Pelodiscus sinensis: one gene and its partners. The protein of the gene in region 2 interacts with the protein of the main gene of each other region in a biochemical or structural test. Links are inferred from orthologs where the notes say so. Each region holds a gene or a part of one and is shown on either strand. Other genes may lie near its edges.

Evidence for each region. The genes of interacting proteins can lie anywhere in the genome.
Region 1: of the proteins of WWP1 (region 2) and WBP2, one has a biochemical effect on the other in vitro, tested with the Homo sapiens proteins (2 studies listed by BioGRID, with this or other methods). The link is inferred for Pelodiscus sinensis from reciprocal best matches to the Homo sapiens genes WWP1 and WBP2.
Region 3: of the proteins of WWP1 (region 2) and KLF5, one has a biochemical effect on the other in vitro, tested with the Homo sapiens proteins (4 studies listed by BioGRID, with this or other methods). The link is inferred for Pelodiscus sinensis from reciprocal best matches to the Homo sapiens genes WWP1 and KLF5.

The regions. Positions count from the first base shown.
Region 1 is NC_134730.1:11,160,438-11,168,156, reverse strand, and holds the start of WBP2 (WW domain-binding protein 2), read right to left. Parts: upstream 3,007-7,719; 5' UTR 2,897-3,006; coding exon 2,838-2,896; intron 1,398-2,837; coding exon 1,289-1,397; intron 770-1,288; coding exon 634-769; intron 1-633. UniProt on the Homo sapiens protein: Acts as a transcriptional coactivator of estrogen and progesterone receptors (ESR1 and PGR) upon hormone activation. In presence of estrogen, binds to ESR1-responsive promoters. Synergizes with YAP1 to enhance PGR activity.
Region 2 is NC_134712.1:45,701,748-45,709,414, reverse strand, and holds the start of WWP1 (NEDD4-like E3 ubiquitin-protein ligase WWP1), read left to right. Parts: upstream 1-4,662; 5' UTR 4,663-4,681; coding exon 4,682-4,684; intron 4,685-7,667. UniProt on the Homo sapiens protein: E3 ubiquitin-protein ligase which accepts ubiquitin from an E2 ubiquitin-conjugating enzyme in the form of a thioester and then directly transfers the ubiquitin to targeted substrates.
Region 3 is NC_134711.1:268,922,449-268,930,053, forward strand, and holds the start of KLF5 (Krueppel-like factor 5), read right to left. Parts: upstream 3,007-7,605; 5' UTR 2,836-3,006; coding exon 2,644-2,835; intron 1,419-2,643; exon of another isoform or gene 1,268-1,418; coding exon of another isoform or gene 1,265-1,267; intron 703-1,264; coding exon 1-702. UniProt on the Homo sapiens protein: Transcription factor that binds to GC box promoter elements. Activates the transcription of these genes.

The DNA.
Region 1 (7,719 bases), on a different chromosome or scaffold from region 2:
CCTTCTGACTGGCCCCCATCCAACACTTGTGCCACTCGTCCAGAGCTGCTGCCTCGCTGCTGGAAGCATCAGGACACTGCCCAGGTCCTGGGGGAGGTTAGGCTGTGGGAAGAGGAGCTAGAAGGAAGGGGGGGGGGCAGGGTCTAGCCACCCCTGCTCATCATGCTGCCTGGAAGTTGGGCTGGGATCTCCTGGCAAGGCTATCCCGACTTCACTTCCCGATGGGAACTCAGAGGCAGCACTGAAGGGTCTGATAGGCCAGATGTGCCCTTCAGGACATAGTTCCCCTCGTCTGCCTAAAAGCCTTGTTAGCATGACCTTCTCTCTGTTATGATCCTCTTATGGATGTTTAGTGAATGAGATAATTCGGCCAAGTAAAATTTAACATTCAGAACAGAGTAGAAATTAGATTGGTTTCTGAAACAGACCAACTCATTGTAACTGGACTTGGAGAAAGGGAAAGGAGAAGCATTTTTGGTTACAGATTTTAAAGAAATACATACATGTTAAAAGTACTGAACACTGAGTATCCACATGGATACCACCCATTTTAGCTTATTGCTAAACTTGATACTTCTCTGAATCTGACGCTGTGCAACTATCCTTGCACTACTGTAACCAAAAAATACATACCTCCTGTCTCTGCTTTCACTGTCCCCTTGATATAATTTGCTCCAAAGACAGGCTGTTTAATCTCACAATCTTTCAACAGATAAAAAGGCATCATGAAAGACTGCATAGGATCCTTTCCCTTGGACACAAAGATAACCTGCAGGGGAGAGGAGCAAACTCACAGTAAGCCACATTTAGAACAAGCACAGCACATAGGGATAATTTACTGCGCAAAGATGGAGTTTGGGGTGCTGAAACTGCTTCCCACGCCTGGAGCTCTTCATAAACCCTGCAGGTCACCAGACCTTCAGAATAGTAGCAAAATGATTGTAAGCTGAAGTACCTTCTAGAAACATACATGATCTAAACCTCTCTCCTCCCGATTTCTAGTGAGCTTGCTGCTCTCTGGATGGCTATGATTAATAGTTTAACTAATGCATTAAGCATTTGCATTTCAACCTAAGGATCCCTACCAGGCTATATAGCTGCTTACAGAAACTAATTAGTATTTATGTCTTTTGACAAGGATTTACAATGCATTCATGATGCTGCTGAGGTCCAAAGATCAGCCATTTTTGAGAGCTCCTAGATTAACCATACTTGCAGAAACAAGAAAAAATTTTCTGTCACTGTCTATTTAAAGCATCTGATCCCATTACAAAAACTAATTACTTACTCTAAATGGAGTCAAGAAGACACTTCCTTTCTTGGTCCCTTTGAAGGCATCTGGCACGTGTTCCATATCACTGAATGTAATTTCTACGTGGTCATAGGTCATCAAAACGCTACAAGCAAGCAAAGGAAAGAAGAGGCCCACTATTAGAACTTGATCCAGAGGAGTGTTTTGTGTACTATTTGGGAGCCTATGTAATGTGAGCTGATGACCTCAATCCAACACTCAGCAGACAAGTGTCCCTATCATAAAAAGCATTACCACAAATGGCTTTTTGGTCAGTTTCTGGGCTTGTCAACACAGTTTTTAAATGGATTTAGTTTGATTTAGAAACTGGTAAGTTAAATCAGTGCAACTTGCTAGAGTGGCTGCAGTTACACCAGTATAAAGGTGCCTTATATTTATATAGCTTAACCTCATAGTCATAGCACCTCTATGCTAGTATAACTGTCCACAATAGCAGGGGGGTTACCTGGATTAAATTACATTAATGTAAAATCCAACTGCTAACTGAAATAGTAAAATCTATGCATAGAACAGGTCTCAGCAGACATCTGCACAAAAACTGAGTGTTGGTCAGGTCCAAGAGGTCAGCAGCCATGAGGAGTGAACTACCCTGCTGTGCCAGAACAAGTGCCTAATATGTTACAGCTGACACACACTGGCAGGGAAGCACAGGGAAAGGTGTTCTGCTGCTAGCCAGACTGAGCATCTTCTATGGCAACACAGGATTTTAAGTCTCCAGGGCGCCAACTCAACATCTTTCTCCAGCACAATATCCACTAACAAAGTAGCAAAGGCTTCAGAGGAGTAGCTGAGTTAGTCTGTAACAGGAAAAACTTAAAAAACAACAAATAGTGTTACAGCTCCTTAAAGACTAACAAAACGTGTAGAGGGTATCATGAGCTTTTGTGGGCACAAACGCTAGCATAGTAGAGGGTAGCTTCCAGAGAGTAGGAGATTGCTGAACAGCGGAGAGCGTGGCAAGGGGGTAGGAGATGGATCCGCCTGGGTCCCTGCCGCTGGCACTAGATGGGCATCACGTCCAGCAGCACTAGAGCACAGGGATGTTAACATGTGTGTAACTGGCTAAGTGTGTAACCATTGCGGCTACACGTGGGACAGCAGCCAGCACTGCCAAGAGCTGCTTTTACGCCATCTGCAGGGCGCACCAGCCCCTGCCACCCCGCTCCCGCGGAGCCGGCTGCCGCCCCGCCTCCTGCCCCCGGTACAGAAAAGAGCAGCGGGCGCCCCAGGGAGCCGCGTGTAACGGTTTGGGGTAACCGTGTAAACGGCCGCCTCGTACACCCGCAGGGCGCGCTGTGGCCAGGCCAGGAAGCGGGGATCAGGCTGCATGGCCGGGGGGGGGGGGGGGGGTCCCACCACTCCGGGAAGGGGGGAGGGGGACTCTCCCTCGCCCCCAACGGCCCACCTTAAGGGCGGGACCTAAGAGCCCCCCCCTTGCCCAATCACGTGACCCAAGCTCTACCCCACCCCCCGCGGTAACGGCTCCCGGGGGGAGAACCCCGGTGGAAGGGGGCGGGGCTCTCACCTCTCGCTGTTATTGACGATCACGCCACCCCCCTCCGAGTGGTTCCTGTTCAGCGCCATGGCCGCCGCCCCCTCGAGCTCCCGGCCTCCCGCTGTGGCCGACTTCGGTCTATGGGATGCAAGCAACACTGCGCCTGCGCAGCGAGAGACCACTTGGTGTGGGATGAGGCATGCGCTGAGATTCACTCGCCCGGTATGCAAAGCGGCTCCGCCGGGCGGCGGGAGCGGAGCATGCTGGGACTTGTAGTCTCCCTGGGTCCTCCTCCGCCATGGTGTGTTGCATGCTGGGACTTGTGGTTCCCGTGGGCCCTTTAGAGGTGGCGTGTTGCATGATGGGACCTGTAGGCCCCATAGAGTCCCTCAGCGAGGGGTTATGCTGTAGGAGCAAAGTATGGCTCGTTTGTCATTCCCCAAATACAGGCAACTTTTAAAATCAAAATAAAATATTAATTCAAAATTGTACAAACGTCTAATTGCTTATGTAGCTGGAATGGGAGCATGAAGCTGGATTTCACCAGTTATGATGTAAACTTCAAAGAAATGTGCGAAAAGAAGCAGCCGCAGAAGTCCCATTAAATTAAGTCTACGAGTACAATGTTTCATTTGTGCTGTCATTAATCATGATGTCAATTATCAAGAATATTAATTTGTATATTTTCAGTCATGCAAATGGGCATTCTGATACGGCTCTTTGTTGACCACTTGTTCTGAATTTTGATGTAGTTTGAGTCTGTGATCTGAAAAGGTTGCCAGCCCCTGTGCTATATAGCTATACTGACCAGACGGCCCAGTTTTTCCGGGACAGTCCCAAACTCAAATGTTCTGTCCCACTTATCCATCAAGTAGGGAAATGTCCCAGAAAGCCCGGCTGGATCTGGCTAGAAATGGCTCTGCCATTTCCAGCCCCCACTGGGACACCCTCGCAGACAGTGCTAGCATGGCACAGCAGCAACCCCCCACTCCTCCCAGGATATAAGCAGCTCCCTTGGTGCTTTGCCCATGGGCAGGCAGGGCTGCTTCCAGAGCTCCATTGCAGTGCATACTCCCACCTGGCAAACCCTCACCTCCGAGAGTACCCTTCCCTCCCCCCACAGGACTGTCTCTGCTGTGCGGGGCCGCCGGTCAGGCCATGCCGCCTCCTACATCCGCAGACTGTTCTTTGTACAGTGGCTGCTGCCACCGCCACCACTGCTGGAGGGGGCGGTGCTGGTCTGAGGAAAAACCCAGCAAGATGTTCCTTGGAGCTGCTGCCTGAGCCTTGGCAGGAATTGTGTGGAGCCCGGCTGGGGCGCTGTGGGGTGGGGTATGGTTGGTCTCTGCCAGGGCACTCTGTACACTGCTGCACTTTCTCTCCCTGCCCCTTCCCAGCCCCTGGGGGAGCTGCAGCACACAGAGCCGCTCACTCTTCCGCGGGGCTGCCCACCACGTAGGGGAGGGGAGAGCTGAACTCCCTCCTCCTCTTCATCCTGCTGGGGCAATGGCAGCACTGTCCAGAACCTTTCCCTTCTGACAGGGGTGATGAAGCCAGACTCCCACATCCCAATTCCCCTCATTCACTCCCCTCTCCCCCTGCCAAGATCCCGCACCTCCAGCTTCCTCTGATACCTTCCCTTCTTCCTGCACCCTCACCACTTGCAAGACATCTACCCCCACCCTGATCCTTCATCCACCGTTGCTCCTACACCCTCCTTCCTGGCCACAGACTGCATCCTCCCATGGTCCTGCTCCCTCCACCTGGCCAGACACCCTACTCCCAGCCTGCTTCTTCATCCTACCTCGCATCCAGCCCTTGCAACCTGTCCCCCTTCTGTACCCCACCTGCCTCCCAGATCCTGCATCCCATTGCTGTCCCACTCAGCAGCCCTGTCCCATACACTGAACCCCTAAGTTTTGTCCCTAACCCAGAGCCTAAGGGGGCCTATAAAATCCACTAAGTCTGGAACCCCAGAAAAGTAAATCTGGCCTATGGGAAGCCCTAAACCTCAGTCCTCCCTGTCCCTTCCCTTCACCCCGTGAGGCTGGAGCACCAGAAAAGTGAGGTGTCTCAGGTGGTGGGGCCACATCAGTGAGGGTTGGGGGTTTTGGAAGGAGTTTTTTGTTTCTCACTTGTGTGATCCCCCACTGATTTTTCTGTGTCAGTGGCCTCCGACCCTAAAAAGATTGCCTACCCCTGCCATAAATAAAGAAAACATTGAACCCTTTTGTGTTGGACATAAATTAATATTTTACTTTATTTAAAATGAAGTTGGATAAAATAAAATGAGAAAGTTAAATGCTTAATCTGTTTAATTATTTAAATTAAACCATTCTCCCTAGCTGCAGCACTACCAAAATGGCTTGGGTGTAATTGGGTAATTAATAGTGAGTTTCCATTAGCAACTGGTGATCCATGGAAAGGTTTACATTGAGCCAGGTAGTCCATGGGCCAAAATGTTGGAGAACCACTGAAATAGAGCCACCCTCGGCCTCTCCCCTGAGAGACCATCGCAGGCTTCCTGCTGCTCCACAAGAACCCACAGAGAGATCGGGTCTGCTTCCACGGCAGTGAAATCACCATGTCACTTTGGTGTGGATGATGGACAGACTCTTTGTGAGTCTTCCTCATTCAAGCAGTTGATGATTTAAACATTGTGTTAAGACACCACATGAAAACACTTGGCACGGCTACAGAAAGGCAGAATGTATCGTGTCTCTACAGAGAGAGTTGTCGTGACTAGGGTTGTCAGATGGCTGAAAGAAAAACACTGAACACCCGCCCAAAAAAAACCCACCGGGAAAAAATTTGTTGCAGGAAAAAGTAAAGGGCGGGGGGGGGGGGGGGGGGGGAGGAAACCAAAGTTACTGAGCAAAAAAACCCTCTGAGAACCTGGATCACTGCTAGGGGTTACCAGCTAATCATTTAAAAAAGAAAACAAAAAACAACCCTGGACATGCTTGGAGGGCGGGGGGAGGAGCACCAGCCTGGCTGGGAAGGGGGGGCGGAGGAGATGGGGGGCCAATGGGAAGCAGGGCTGGTCATGTGGGGGGGCGGGTGGAACGGGGCTGGCTGTGGGATGTCGGGGGAGGGGGGACCGGCCGGAAGGGGCGGGGCGGGGCTGGCCGGGAGGAAGGGGGAGTGGGAAGCAGAGCTGGTGGGGGGCGGGGGCAGCGGGGGCCGGGAGAAAGGGGGAGCGGGAAGCACAGCTGACTGGGGGTATGTAGCGGGGGCAGGGCTGGGAGGAAGGGGGGCAGGAAGCAGAGCTGGCAGGGGCAGGGAGAGGTGCAGCGGCGCTGGCCTGGGGAAATCAGGAAGAGAAACGGACTGGTGGGAAGCACAGCTGGGGGGTAGTGCAGGGGGGCTGGCCGGGGAAGATCAGGAAGGGTAGTGGGGGAGAACCGGCTGGCCGGGAAGGGAGGGGTGGTGAGCAAATTGGCCGGCGGGGAGCGGGACTGACCTGGGCACTTGCTGCCTGTCCCGTGCAGGCTTCCAGCGATGCACGAGTGAGGAGGAGGCTTCCCCTCCCCTTCACACTCAACCAATTGAGGGTTCCAGGCAGCAATTGTGGCCCCGTCTCCCAGCTGGGACTCCCAGCCGCTCCCCCGTCCACACCAGGCTTCCGTCCAGTGCGCAGCCGGAAAAATCAGAAAATACCGGACATGTCTGGTATTTTCTGGGGGGTTTTTACAGGACAGAGTGCGCAAATACCGGACTGTCCGGTACAATACCGGACACCTGGCAACCCTAGTCATGACTTGTGTGTCTGGGTGAACAAGCTCTTTGTGAGATTTGTGAAGAGATGAGATGTTTTGACTTTCAGTTTCAAGGGATTTGTTCTGTCTTTGGACTGAACGTTATCTACACCTGAATGGAGTTAGCAGTGACAATGCATTTCGGAGTTATTCTGACACACAAAGAGAAATCTGTGCTAAAGACCCCACATCCAGTGAGAGAAAATGCTGCTGTTAGAAGAAGTCAATTTAAAGTCTCTCCAATTTTCTTCAAAAATCACCTCTACCAGGCAGTGGAACTTTTACTGATGGTCCCTTATATTTTTGAAGGGTAACTAAATGTTAACTGGATCTTCTTGGGTAATATCAACAGATTGCTTTTGGCCCAATGCTAGCTTAAAGTTTAAATTGGATCAGGCCCTTTGTAAGCAGGTTGGGAAGTGGTCTCATTTGGCAATTACAGCCGGTCTCCGACTTACAACCACCTCCACATACGACCATCCGCATTTACAACCAAAGCGGTCGTAAATGTGGTCCCCGAGTTATGAACGCGATCTGCGCATACGAACAGCGCAGTCACCATGTAACTCAATGGGATCCATGTTACGAACACTTCGAGTTATGGCCAAGTGTTTGGTCCGTAACTCATTCGTAACTCAGGGACCGGCTGTATTATTAAGTATTATTTACATAACAGGCATTGCCATCATGGTACTGACATGTACATTTCTCAGTAGCTTTACATATAAAATAGACCAGCCCCACTGACCTCCATGGGAAATGTACCTTTCAAGCAGCAGTGGTAATTATGAACTTCTCCACCCTGTAATTGACATGGTTAGTTCCATATTGTCATTATGACATGTGGAAATGGAGGACACTTAATAGTTTTGCAGTAACTTCAAAAAATGCAGTTCCAGTACATCTCATTAGGCATGTAAATTCCCATTAATCAGTTAACCAGTTAATTTTAGGTCACGGTGGGGTTGTCCCCTCTGGAGCAGCCTCTGTTCATAGCAAGCTGGACTCCGCATGGAGAGAGGCTATTCCAGACACTGGTGTAGTCCCTGCCTGTGAGGCCCCCGGGGTTCTCCAGAAACAGGGGCTACTCCGGACAAGGTGGGGAGCTGCTCCAGCCCCCTCTGATTACCAGTTAATTTGAACTGGTAAGCATC
Region 2 (7,667 bases):
TGGCGAAGGAAGCCGTGCCAGGGCCCCCCTTTGGCCCTACTGGGAGGGCGGTGGGGATGCCCGCTGGGAGCGGAGAGGGAGGGTCTCTGTGTCAGGCGGGTAACCTTGTTTGTGCCGTTCCTGGCCTGGCCAAGGGGGTGGATGGGGCTGAGCCCTGACCCGTGTCCGTGCCGAGCTTGTGGGAAGCGCTTGAGTCGCAGGGAAGCAGCAGGGCAGTCCCAGAGGCGGCCCTTGTCGCTTTACCTAGAGCGGTGAAAGAGGAGAGGGAGTTAGGTAACAGAAATGCAACATCCCTCCGCGCAACCGGGCAGGGGTCCAGGGATACCCCAAGCCTCCCCCGCGATAGACGTGACCCTGCCGCCTGCCTTCCCCACCCTCCTTCTATGGGCAGGGGAGGTACTGGGCTGCTTTGCTGCAGCTCGTTGTGGGGCTGGAGGGACAATTAATGCTGTTACTGCCCAGCTTAGAAGTGCCTGCAAATCTTTCTGGTGCTGTGTAACGTCTGACTCCTTCAGTGGTTGATATTTGTATTTTAAAATGTCAGTGGTTTAACAGAATATGCAGAAGTTATTTGCTGTTGTTATAAATGCTATCGTGAGCTACAACAGCATAGTGTGTGTTCCATTTACTGTAGTGACTTCTTTCTATTTACTGATCCTTATTTTAATAACAAAATAGGTGTCTAAATGGAACTACATTAAAGGCATGCATTTTGCTGTACGTCCCTTTAAACAAGATTTAGTTAAAACAATCTGTCAAAATATATGAACAAAAATTAGTACATGAATTTGTAACAGAATGTTCAAATCTGACAAAGTCATTTTCAAAAATACCGTGATGATCTCCTATTCATATAGGAAATCATCAGAATGGTATTCTTGGGTAGCTATCCAGGTTATACAATTATGCAGAAATTGGCTCACTAGATTATGCTGTCACATATTTAGTATATTTAACATATGAATGAATGGATGGATAGCACTTCCAATAAAAATAGTGCAGCATTTATATTTTGCTTGTGCTACTAAACAGTTTTGTTGGGGAAAGAATAAATTGATTATTGATGATGTCTTATAATCTTTCACAAATTCATTGAGGTTTTTATTAAATGGGATTTGATAAACTAATGTTAATCTACTACATTTGAACTCAGTTAATGTATTTCAGTGTTTTCCTAACTTATGGTCTAATGAGCTGTAAAGGCTTGACCAAAATGAAAACTGTTCATGGTCTTTTCTTTATTTTTGGGGAGGAGGTGGCAGTAGCTTACTTAGACTCGGCCCTAAGACATGAGTGAAATGAGAGGCCAAAATACATGAAACTCCTATTACTTGTAAGACCAGTTGATTTTTTTTTTAGCACTCTTATGCCATTACCTCTCTTCCCCATGTGGTGGTGTGTACAATAGGTTAGACTTCTTTATAATGGACTGATTCTGCAAACACTCCTGGATACAATGTGCTTTGTGGAGTAGTGCTTATGGCCAGTAATGTTTTTAGTGTTACATAGTTATACATGTGATCATAATGCATATATGTGAAGCTATTCATATAGGTACGAATTTGCAACATCTAGGGCAGCGCTAGGCATCACAGGCTAGTGAGTGGGCCACATGAGTGGCTGTCCATCTCAGTGGGCTGCGAAATTTTTGTGACAAAGATAGTCTCTCAGTATACGGTAGTTTTGCTAACTGCACTTGTGTACCTAGAATTTGCAGGATGCGTCAACAGAAACGTAAGAGTGCTTTGATTGGATGCAGAAGAAGCGCACTGCTTTCACAGTCAATGTTATGTTCAATCAACTTGCTCCTCACTTCACATGCCTTTGTTTTACATGTGTATCACTTTAGTAATACTGATAGGGGGGAAAAAGACACCAAAAGAAACCAGCAGAATTTGACAACTCTGTGCATGAGCAACAGTAAATGCAATGTCTTGCCAGCAACATACAGAACCCTAATGGGCCTCATATGGCCCTCAGGTCACAGGTTGCCCACCACTGATGTAGAGTGTGCCTTCTTGGAGTAACTTACCAATTGTGGGCTTCAGTTTGTTTCTTTGAAGCTTAAAGGATATGTTGGGGTAGCAAATGCAATCCCCGGGTTACATGGATCCGACTTACATCGGATCCCTACTTACAAACGGGGTGAGGCAACCCCACACTAGCTACTTCCCCCCAGCAGACCAGGGAGATGCGAAGCTAGCACCCCACCCCAGCAGACCAGGGAGACGCAGAGCGGCTTTTCTTAGCAGACACGTCAGCTTGAGAATAAAGGACTGAGGGAAGTGAGGTGTGGGAGAATAAAACTGAGTTCTGGAGAAATGTTTGGCTAGAGTTTTCCCCTACAATATGTACCAGTTCCGACTTACATACAAATTCAACTTAAGAACAAACCTACAGTCCCTATCTTGTACGTAACCCGGGGACTGCCTGTAGTTTTTAAAGTCTTACATTAAAAATACATTAATGAAACAAATAAAATGTTAGCAGATTTGCACACCTATTTGAGACCAAACTTGAACTCTGTTTTGCCTGTGCTACAAGGGCACCGTGGAAGGATCCAAGATAGAGGTGATCCACTTTTTCTCAGATCATGGAAGGACTCATGGAGACATAGTTGTTTCGTTGTTCTCTACTAGTCTTGTCCTTAATTGCTCGCCTGACTCTTTGAAAAACACTGAAAAAAGAAAAAAACCTGTCTCAGAATTCGGTGCATGAATGCTGAGTTGGAATACCCTGCCATCCTAATCACCTTCTTCCCTCTCTCCTGAAAAGGAAATAGTGGAGCCTGAGAGATCCTTCTAATGTTTTCAGTTTTGTACTGTGATTAAAACAGGGATCTAGGGGATGAGTCTTCCTCACTCATTGACGACTTTGAGAAAAGAGGATAAAGCTTGACATAAAATTGTTTTAATATTTAGAAATTAACACATTAAACAGGCTTCACAAAACAAAAATTGATATACATTTAGAACCAAAACTAGGTGTTGAGTGCTGCTTTAAGATAGCCACTTTAAAACTAGGATGCAGAAAATGAAGCCAATGGGGGGAGTAAATAACTTTTTAAAAAAAATGCTTAGTTGTAATTTCAGTACTTTACTTGGCCAACTTGGCAAGCAAGTATACCACATGGTTGCACCAAAATATGAACTTTGTTAGTAAGAATACTGTTATAGTTTTTTTAGTAATATTACCTTAAAGTATGTAAATTATAAGTTAAATCTCTTTTTAAAACCCAACTGTACTTACTGTGTGTGTGTAATTTTTTGCATGCCTATTCAAAGTCTTCTCTTTCCAGAGGGATCAGTCATGTTACTCATGGTACTGTTAACCACTCCACTTTTTAATTAATGACACTTTCAGAAATTCGTAAGAAATTTTCACTGGATAGTTGAGACAGGTTTGTAAAATACTATTGCCAGTGCTAAATTCAAAATTTTCTGGGTTGTGTGTGATGCTCAGTAGCTTTTGCAAGTTTTAACCTTTTCATTAATAAAAATTAGATTTCAAGCTCTTATGTTTGCAGTTGATGCAGTGCAGTCTTCCTGAGTTTACAGGCAGCACCAGTGCTGTGGCTGCTGTTCATATCTTTTCTAAACAACGGAATGAAAGTAATGGTCAGTTTCACTTGTTTCATTACTGGTCACAGTGTTCTAAATAGCAACAATTAAATTAACAAGAATCCTGTTATTTTTTTACTCTGCTGCATTTTGTGAAAGCCATAAACAAGAACTGCCAAATTAATTCTATACCAAAGACTGAATTCCATGTTTAATTATGATAGTGGCTCAGAATATAAATTTATGACTATATATTATCCTTACTCCACAGTCAAATTCCCACAGATGGCAGTGGGCGATTTTCACAAAGAATCATTGTGGAATATGGCCCAGTGTAGTAAATAAACTTTTACTTTTATTTTTAAAATTGTAATATTCAGTAAGAAGGATTGTTTTTTTTAAATACTCTTCTTGAGGATCACCACTGTTCCTTGGGTTTTTTTCTGTCTTCATCACCCTTCTCCACCTCATTTCCCCTCTTATCTGTTCAGCTGATCAGCAGTGAAATAGTTAATATTGACTATTAAAGTGAGTATTGCCCACTGGCATTAACTCTTGTGTGTGTAACAAATGGCAGCAGGGGAGTTCACATTTCAGACTAGATCTACACTAATCCCAGCTAAGTCAATAATGTAGCTGGAGTCAATGTACCTTAGGTCAAGATACTGCGGCGTCTATCTTGAATGGGGTTGATGGAAAACATTCTCCTGTTGACTTACCTTACGCTTCTCATCAGGGATAGCATATAGGGGTTGACTGAAGAGCGATCTGTGGTCAATTTGATGGGTCTTCACTATACCCACTAAACTGACTGCCAGTGAATCGATCTCCACTCTTGCAATACAACTGTAGTGTAGATACTGCCTCAGGCTTTGTGTACACTAAGGGGAGGAGGGGACTGGATTACACAACTACAGCTACATGAATATAATAGTTGAAGTTGATGTACTTAGATCTTCTTACTGCGGTGTCTTCACTCTGCTGTGCCAATGGGAGAACTTCTCCCTCAGACTTCACTTATGCTTCTCAGGACAGTGGAGTATACAAATTGATGGGAGAGTGCTCTTCACCCGACCAGATAAATTGACTCTTGCTGCATCAGTTGCTGCAATGCCTATCTAATGGTAAGTGTGGACTAGTCTTTATTTTGGGCTGTTTTCAGACTCTCTAAAAGGCAACACTGCACTAGTTACATGCAGGTCACATTTTGAAAGCCACCTCCTTCCTCCGTCTCAAAACATTTTTTGTGTGTGATTGTAGATGTATATATTTTTTTAAAATAAATTATCATGACTATTAAGGCTGCTATAAAAAGAGGTGGTATTTACTAAGGAGCAAAAGGAGTGGACACCCCACCAAATAACCTTGAGAGATATGGAAGAGGAAGCTCCTTCCTACCAGAAAAAGAGGTACTCTAGAATAATGGTTCTTGAGCAGGGGTCTGGGGCTTGATGGCGCTGGCTATTTCCATGTGGAGAGAATCATGGTTGCTTCTCTCCAGACTCTCTCCTGAGGCAAAGCAGTCAGTGAAGGTTCTCCGCTTCAATGGGGGGAGGGATAGCTCAGTGGTTTAAGCATTGGCCTGCTAAACCCAGGGTTATAAGTTCAATCCTTGCAGAGGTCATTTGGGGCAAAAATTTGTCAGAGATGGTACTTGGTCCTGCTGCAAAGGCAGGGGACTGGACTTGATGACCTTTCAAGGTCCCTTCCAGTTCTAGGAGATAGGCAATCTCCCCTAATTAAATGGGGTGGCCCTGTGAGAAGGAGATTCTAAGCTCCATGGACTAAAAGACTCTTTCATGACCTTCCACACCCTCAGCCTGTAAGTTCTGGGCCTGGCTCATAAGAAGTTCCATCCTCAAATCCTAGTATCTCCGTCTTTCCAACCTTGAGAGGACTCAAAAAAAAAGGGGGGGGGCACATTTGCTAGGGAAGAGAGAGTCTGTTTCACTCTTCCACACATCCTGGCTCCTGGCTTCTCCCATTCCCAGGCCCACTTCTAGCACCTATTTTGAGGGTACCTTCAAGGACGACGTACCTCTGATATTGCCACATCCTTCGTCTTGTAACATTCTCATACCATCTCCATCCTTTCTTTCCAGCCTGGTGCTTTGTCACTTCAGACTGGTGGGTCCTCAGTGTAACGTGGCAGCGTTGTATCCTCCAGCTCTTGTCTATCCCCCTTTCCCGCTCCTCTCCCTGTCCCTCTTCAAGGACTCTTCTCATGAGCGGCTCCTTCTGCAAGAAGTTGAAGGACTTGTTCAGATGAGGGTCAGTGTAGGAGGTTCCAAAGTGCTACAATAACCAGGGATTTTATTTCCTCTACTTGCTCATCCCCGAGGCTACAGGATGAAGGGGCACTTCAACCCATTCTGGATCTGCATGATCTGAACTGTTACCTGGTGAGGCTTAAGTTCTGCATGATCTCCCTGGCCTCCATTATTTCTTCCCTGGATCCCAGACATTGGCACACTGCCCTCGGTCTCAAGGATGCTTACTTCCATGTTGCCATTTTTTAGGGGCTCATAGAGAATTTCTGTGATTTCTGAAGTGCACTAGGAATGTTATTGTGTAATTGAATAGTTTTGTAATCAAGTGGATTTTATCAGTTACACAGCTATTTGATAGTCTCTGTAGTGGGGAGGAGGGCAGCAGCCAGTGTGTTCCAGGCTCCACTCCTGGGGAGACCCCTGCCATCTTACATTGCTGCCTTTCTCTCAAGGACACCAGCATGGGGTGGCAGGTGGAGTTGGTTTTGTTAAAGCTGGCTTCTGCCTGCCACTCTGTGCTGCTGCCTCTGCTACAGGAGCAGCAGCATGGGGTGGCAGCAGCCCCTGTCCAAGGGGGGGTCCAAGCTCCCCATGGACAGAGGTTGCTCCGGGGCAGCAGCCCCTATCCACAGAGAGCTTGGTATGCCCACAGCCAAGGTTTGCTGCCATGGACATAGGCTGCTCTGTGGGATGCTGAAGCCACCTCTGTCTGTGGGGAGCTCGGACCCCTTGCAGATGGGGACTGCTGGCATGGAGCAGCTTCCCCTGCCCTCCCTAGCTCTGCTGCCTCTTGGGGACAGGCAGTACCGTGGAGCTATTGTTGGGGGGGGGGGGGGAGACCATCTTTTAAGCTGGCTCCCCCAAGCATTGGCTCCTGCCAGCCTTCTCTGCATGGCTTCTGTAGGAGGCAGCAAGGTGCGGGGGAAGCGGGGTCCATAGAGTCGACATGTGTGGGGAGTCTGCTTGAAAGCTTGTCCCACCTGCCCCCCTCACCCTTCATGCTGCTGCCTCTCAGAGGCATCAGTGAGAGGGGCTGGGAGGGGGGAGGGAGGTTAGGCTTATCCAGCTTCTCATGGGCACTGGCTTCCTCTCCCTGCCTCTGATACAGAGGCAGCAAAGCCAGGGGGTGGGGGGTGAGGGGGAATAAGCAATAAGGCTGGTCAAGGGGGACTCCTAGTCCAATGTCCACCTGCATGTGTATCTTCTGCTCTGCCTATGCCACCAGCTTGGTCTGTTGATGAATTCAGAAAAGTCTGTTAATGCTGATTCAATGCAGAGAGTTTATGGAGCAGAGCTGGAGTCTGCTCTGGCCCAGGCCTTCCTTCTGCTGGATGGCTTTCATGCTCTCATGGACCTCGTGACCCATCCGCATACTAGGAATGTGATTGTTTAACTGTTACCCAGGGACAGTGTCCTGCTTATGGCCCACTGTGAGTGGAGGGCTGCTCCCGCCCTGCAAGGCTACTGGCTCTTAGCTCATGTGGTCTGGGAATCAGCAGCCTCGCACAGGGCCGCAACCTTCCCTCTTACCCTGCTGCCACTTCTGGCCTGTGTGGGGGAGCCATCTTCCCCCCCACCCCGACCAGCCATGTGTGTGGCTGCCGACTCCCAGCCAGGGTGAGCTGGGAGATGGAAGCCCAGCGCAGGTTTGGAAGCAGCTGGGCTGGAGCAGCCCTTGCCTGTGGTGTGGAATCCGCTCCAGCCTAGCCATGGCTCCTACCTCCATTTAATCAGTTAGCCAGTTTAACCCAAATTGAAATTTGTGTACTAATTAAATGAGATTTTACTTCCCTACTGTGTGCTTCATGGAGCACTACAGCCAGAATATATCTTCCAT
Region 3 (7,605 bases), on a different chromosome or scaffold from region 2:
TGGAGGAGGGGTTAAATTCTGTAGCATTTCTGCTTGTCTATCTGGACTTCCGGGTTCTGAACTTGGGGGTGAAGGAGGGAAGTAAGTGGCCTGTGGCTGAAGAAACTGATTTGGCATTGTGTAGGTGCATTGGGGGATTCCCTGGAATTGTTTCATTGTAGTCTGTGGAATAGCAGAGGAGTGAGTGTTAAGGCCTGCCATAGCTGATGGCATGGAAACATTGTTAAGAGAGTCCATTACTGCCGCCTGGGTAGTAGAATTGGGCATATCTAAATCCGGTGAGCTCAAGAGCTGATATAACTGGCCCTGCTGGGGTGTGACAGAAAGATGAATATCTGGAGTAGGAAGCTCTTGCTTGATGAAAATGTTGTTCACATCAGGAGTTTGGTGAGAGCTGAAGATACTGGTAAACTCTGGGAGAGCCTGGGTGGAGGCAGTAGCTTCACTCTGCTGATTGAAGATGGTAACTGGTTCTGTCTTGATGTGGGTTACACATGGTCTCTGGGATTTGTAGAGGCCAGTTCTCAGGTGAGTAATGTCAGGAAGGAAGACATTCATGTTGATACTATAAGGCAACCCTTCACTGTCAGTGAAGAACTGGTCTACAACTGAGGCACTGTCTCTTCTGTATTTTTTATGTTCAGGGATGACAGGAACCGGTGGAAGCTGATGTGTCAGATATTTCTCCATTTCACATCTTGTCTAAACAGAAAAAGAAAACAAAAAAATTCATGATTCGTTACCAATCCAGAGAAAGATGGGGCGCCAAATACTCCTTTACTGGAATAGCTAAGTAAATCTCATCTCTTCAAATAGTTAAAATAATGAAACAAAGCATATCCATTATAAAAGCAGGGTTATTTTACTCAGACACCTCACCAAGAACAAGAGTCAGGCTGACCAACAGTTTATGTAGAACAAGAGTAAAATATTTTTAAAGTATATCATTTAAAATACTTCATCAGAATATTTGCAATAAGATAATGTTACATATCAAAATCTGTATATGTAATTCATTTCTACAGTTATTTCTCGAATATTTCACCATTCTTTTTATAATTAGTTCACACACTTTTCTTTGAAATGTTAATTGCAAAAGCCATGCTTTCATCTGACTACTTCAAAGCTATATTTCAAATAATATATATTCATACTTTTGGAATTTTAGAATCTACATTAAGAGCTACAAAGTCTATAATCTGTCAAAAATGTGTTAACTATGTTCCTACTCATGTCACAATTCTCAAAGATCTTTAGTTCCTACCATGGAAATCAGTCCCTTAGTGCAGTAGTGGTAGGAATCTGTGGGTGGCGAAAGTCTGATGCATTACTGGTACAGTCATCAGTAAAGCATTTATCATGTACTCTCCAATGGGCAAATGTTACATTCCCTCTTACCCTGTAAGAAGTCCAGTCATGCCAAATCCCGTTAACCCCCCCCAAAAGAAAGCATCTGACAAATAGAAAGAAAAGTCTGCTAAAAAAATGTAATTCAAGAGCTTCTGAAAGACGACCAAACACACACAAGACACACCACACACACAACGCCTGCTTTGATCTAGAACTGTCCTTAGCGTGCTAAGCTACTTTTTCCAGCTCTTGTTTACAAGCCAAGGCCAGTTTGCTTTGAAGACAGAAACATGTAGTCTTTGAAGAGAGATACGCTGAGCCACAAGCACTGCAATACAGCCCACTAATATTCACTGCCTTGCTTATCAATTCTCGGCAGCAGAATTCTTCCTCAACCTTGGTAACCCTGCGGCTTAGGGATTGGGCGACTCGGGCTGAGATCCCGGGCCAGCGCCCCCGCCTAAATACACCTTGGAAGGTGCCTGTGCAGAGGTTTGTCACACGGCTCTGGAGCTCCCAGGCCTGCCTGTTCCGTTTATATAATGCCACTTGTGCCACGCGAGGCTGCTCACTAGAATAAACCGCAAACGAAACTATTCAGTGAAAGAGCCCAGCGCTGGAAATAGCCTCAAACTAAGCCCGCTCCTGCGCTAAAACCAGGCTGCGGTTGGCGCTGGCTGATTTTAGCTCGTCCAGCTGTTTGCATGTGGCTCTGTTGCCAAACAGTTTTCTGGGACACTCAGAAAGTCCCGAGAAGTCTCTGCAGCCCCCCCCCCCCCTCCCAGTCTAACATGACCGTGCGTGGGCGAGAGACAGGCGGCTGCGCTAATTCTGCTGCTGGGCAAGTGCAAGGGCAGCAGCTGTAGCTTTCAACACCCTCCCGGGCCCGGCCGGCTCTTCCCCTGCCCGCTCGGTAGCGCTTTGCAAGTTCGAGTCGCCGGCGCCCCGATAAGGTCACTCTCCGGCCCCATTTCCAGCAGCTCCCCGGAGCCGCGGAAGGGCGGCAGCGGATTCCCCACCCAAGAGGGAGAAGGAGAGAGGTTCGCTCCCTTGGAGGCGCGACGCAGCCGGGGAACCCAGCTTCTGGCAGCGTGGAGCTCCCCTCTCCGTCCTATCCCCCTCTCGGGTGGGGCTTCCGTCCTGCGATGGCTCCCGATGGCCGGGAGCCGCCCTGATCCCCCGACCCTGCCTCACCCAGGGCTGGCTCTCGCTCCCCTGCGGGCTAAGCCCGGCTCCAGCGCCCAAGGGCGCCGCCAGTAGGGGACCCGCCCAAGCGGCTTCCCCCTCTCTTACCTGCACCATCTCCTCCGCCGGGATCCTGGCTCCGCCGCCGCCCGCCTGCTGCTGCTGCTGCTTCAGCTCCTCCCGCGGGAACATCGGCGCCTCCCGGGCGCCCAGCACTGGCTTGAGCTGCGCGAACACCGGCTCGTCGGGCTGCTGCACGGGACCCAGGCGGGCGCTCATGGGCAGCACCCGTGTGGCCATGCCCGAGCGGGATCGCTCCGGAGCGGGCACGCAACCTGCCCCCACTGCACGGGACTGTGGCCTGGGGGGGGAGGAAGGGTGAAGAAAATCGCTGCCCTGGTTCTCTTAGCCCGCAACCCCCTGGCACCGTCCTGCACGCAGCCTCCCGCCGCTCCACCTGGCCCGGGGTAGCACTACTAGTGACACATGCCCGCCTCTATTTCAGCCGACCCCACCCTGGCCGGCTACAAGGGGGCTGGCCCTGCGGGGCTGGGCCGCCAATGGAAGCGCGCTCCTTGCCCTCGCCCCGCCTCCCTGGGGCTGGGAGCGTGTCTGCCGCGCCTAGCCGCCAGAGCGTGCCAAGGGGCTGGGCCCCTGGAAACAAGGCGCTTTGCACGTTTTAAGTGGTGCGCCCAGGACCCGAGCCCGAAGGGAGGGTCGCGGCCCTTCCTTTCCCTGCCAGGTTAGGGGCGGACAGCTCTGCATTCCGCGTGAAGCAGGTACCCGAAGCACGCTGCAAACTGTTGATCAGTTTCAACCCCAGAGCAAACCGCGCCTGGGGCTGGGGTAACAAGTGCTCTTGGATGATTTTGTGCAGGTCTGAATATTCAGCGAGATCGAGGAAGATTGGGCAGCAGCGTGAAAGTGGCTTTGAACAAGTGCTGGTAAGCACTAAATGAGGCCCACTTCAGACTTAATTATTATTTACAGTCCCTTAGGGAAGCATGGCTCCAGTACACATTTTAAAATACCCATCCTTAGTATCTTTTCATCTTCAAAGAGCTTAAGAAACATTCTCAAGCGCGCGGGGGGGGGGGGGGTTGGTTTGGTTTAGTTTTTTTTGGGGGGGTGGGGGATTTTTGTTGTCCTGAAAGCACCTCCTACTCCAGACTTCGTGTTAAATTGCAAGCACAGCCAGCATTACCATACACATCTCTGCAACAGTCTGGGAAAATGATATAAAAACAGAGCAAAAGAGAAGGAAGGAGGAAAGAAAAAAGAGTGAGTGAGTCTCTCTCTCAAACAAAGTATACGTGTAGACCAGTGCTTTTCAACCTGTGGTCCATAGAGCCTCTTAAGATTTCTAAAAGGGTCCATACCACCTCCTTCGGAATGTTTTTAGGGGACCGCCAATGAAAAAAGGTTGAAATCCAGTGGATGTTGCACAATAGGGTGAGAAAAGACTGTCTTGATACCTGCAATAGAAGTTATAAGTTAAATGTATCATACCGCATATGAGAATATAAAAAGTGAGATACTATAAATAAATCCTAATTCCTCCTTTTCTTTTCCCAAGCCAGTTCTATATTCCACAGTTGATGTAGTGATACTCACTAATCCTTGGGAAATGTTAATGGCATCCATCCCACTCCTGGATTTACTGACAGACAAAATTTCAAAATTAGTCTCTGGTCAACCTTGCACTTTCCTTCCTTTTATTTCAGGCACTTTCTCCCCAGCAAGAGAGGTGTTACTAAGTCTGAATGTAGGAAGTTAATTACAGAACCAAGAAAGAATTTAGCATAACATTTCTTTACACAAATTGTCTCTTTAGGAACAGTCAGCCACTTGATGTTTGTTATTACAAAAGGAGAGAAGGTTACTCCCCTCAGTCTGTAGCATTCAGAATAATGTGAACTAATTTCAATCCCAACCCTATAAATATAGCTAAGGATCACACACAATCTAATTTCAGCATCCTTCTCTAAAGTATCTTGTATTAAATTTAATTCTCCAGTGTAATTTTAAAATAATTCATGTAATGGAAGGCTTTTCAAGTCTTTATATATAAGAATGTATAGCGTATTTTGCCATGGTTGTTTTCAACTATAATGCCCTTCATGTGCCCCTTATTAACCATTCTGTTTGTATGGGTTTTAAAACTGTTTATAAATGTCAATTTATTTTGATGTTGAACCATAAGATGTGCTCTCACAGGCGCTTTGAACACTTTTCAATTTCTTTTTAAATTACAAATTAAATCTAAATTAGTCAGCAGCAGCTTTAAACAAAACTGATAACCTCCCAAACACTGGCTAATACTTCACCCTCTATCTGGGTACGTCTACACTACAGAGTTTTGTCAGAAAAATGGCCATTTTTCTGACAAAACTTGCGGAACATCCACACTGCAATTGTGTTCTTCCAAAAGTAAATTGAAAGAACAGAGAGCTTTTTCTGACGTTGGTACTCCTCTTTCTGTGAGGAAGAAGCCTTTTTCCGAAAGAGCTCTTTCAGAAAAAGCTGTGTGTGGACGGGGAGGGTTTTCTTTTGGAAGAAGAGGCCTCCAGGAAATAACATAGGTGCCCTGGTGGACATTCTGTCCAAAGAATCACAACTCTGAAAATATCTCTGGAGATATTTAAGAACAGGTTAGATAGACATCTGTCAGGGATGGTGTAGACGGAGCTTGGTCCTGCCTTGAGGGCGGGGGGCTGGACTCGATGACCTCTCGTGGTCCCTTCCAGTCCTATGATTCAATGATTTTATGAACTCTATAGTTCCTGTCTCCAGGCACCCTGGACAAGCCTTGGGGCAGGAAGCTGGCCTTGGAGCAGCACCTTGACCACATAACTCCAAATGCTGTGGCAGGGAGAGCTATGTCCAAGCCACAAGCCTCCTGCAAGCACCCTGGCCCTCGCAGGGAACAGCTCCAGGGGTCCCAGGACCCATCCACGGGGACCAAGAGGCGCACACCCTCTTGGCCTGGACTGCAGGTCCTCTCCCTCCTCGAGCTGTAGGGTGAGGAGGACACCTTGCAGGATCTCAGAGCCAAGTGCTGCAATGCCAACATATATGAGTGGATGGCTGAGTCCTTGGCGGAGCATAGACACCAACCCTGGCCTTGAAACAGGTTCACAGTAAGGATAAGGAGCTCTGCCAAGCATATGTTTGGGTCAGAGAGTGCAGCTCGCGCTCAGAGACAGGACCCCACACTTGCCCCTATTACCAGGAGCTCTACCAGATCCCGGGGGAGGGGGGGGAAACGTCTTCCCCACCCATTTTCATGGACTCCGGCCTGGAGATCCCCGTCATTGCCTGGCCAGAGGTCTTGGCATAGGAGGACCAGGGCCAGTTGGAGGCGGAGGAGGAGACTGAGACTGTCACCCTGTCCCTCAAGCCAGTGCTCGTGAGCCAGGATGTCTCCCAGGCCTCCTCTGATGCCTGGGAGGGATCTTCAGGTGAATGGTCTCACTTTGTCACACATGCAAGGCGGGGAAGGCAGGCACACAGGGAGTGAGGGGGTATCGCTCGGGCTGCTCAGGATGGACACGTGCTGCGGAACCACGTGCAGCATTAGTGTGTGACACGTGGATGCAGCTGGCAGTCCCTGAGCATAGATGGGATCCTGCTGCCAGGCACAGGGGAGGCCACACATGTCCTGCCATGGGGCGGGGAGGCCTGCCACGGCTGGAAGCAGGCTAGCCAGAAGGGTGCAGGCATGACCCCACATAGACTGAGTGCTGCATGTGCGAGGCAACACCTGCTCCCACGGACAGCACTGCAAGCTGCAGGTGTGTGTGTGACCCCAGAGAGGGCCAGGCTGCTCCCATCTCCTCTGCCACCCATGAGGTGATCCCACTGTGGCCAGACACTCCCCTTGCAATCACGCAGCAGAAGTAGAGAAATGGCTGTCCGGGGGGGTCCCTTTAAGCTCCTGTCTCTGCAAGGCTCTGGCACCAGCACTCGGAAGCAACTGGTGACCTAAAGCCCTGCCTGAACTGGTTCCGGATGGCCTTATATGTGAGAGAGCATCCAATCAGTCTGGACATTCTCTTTTGCAAAAGCACATTGATTTTTCCATGTGCTTTTGTGTGTGGACACTCTTTTGGAAGAAGTTTTTTCAGAAGATTTCATCCAAAAAAAAGTCTTCCGAAAGAAGATCTCGTTCAAAAAAAAAAGTCTTCCGAAAAAGCATAGCCTCTATGCTTCTAGAAATTGGCCCAGTACTTCAGTTCTTACTGAAGCACAAGTAAAGTACTTTTTAAAAAGTAACATTTTCTTTTTGGCATGGCACTCACCACTGACAATTAAATAGGCTAGTCATTTTTATGTTTGTTTTTTAATCTGTCTTGCCCACAGATGCAAGGTTTAGATGCAGACAATGAGGGGGCTGTTTAATTTCAAACAAGCAACTGATTTCATTTATATAAAAATAAATTAAACCCTCCATTGTTATACAATGGTTATATAGAGATATAGATATAGATATAGATAGAAAAACAGATAGCTATAGATACACACACACACGCACGCACGCGTTTTAATTCATGAAATATAAGTTAACAAAAGGCAGTGCCCCTTTAAGAAAAGTTGAATGAAATCAAAGTATTTATTGTTAATCAACTGAATATCATGAATACAAACCTTTAATAATTACTAAGATATTTTCATCGCTTTCATTAGGCATATAGAAGTTAGAAATTAGTTTATGCTTAAGGACAAATTGGCAGTGGAAATCAGTAGAAGTTCTTTTAAATGAACATAATTTCAAATAACGTAATTACTGCCATTATTATAAGTAATGGTTTCTCTGAAACACAGAGTATTTCACTGACTGTTAACTAGTTTTAATATACTCTACAACAGAACATACATAGAAAATAACTGTTTATCCCCATGGTAACTATTCAGATATGAATATGTGAGGAAGACCTTCAATGTGTTTAGTTACTGATAAGAAAGGCACAATGCTCTACACTTGAAAAACCATTTGTATATTTAATTTTAAAAAGGGTTAAAACTAGGGATGTAAAAGGTTAAGTGGTAAGCATAAGCCTTAGTGGGTGA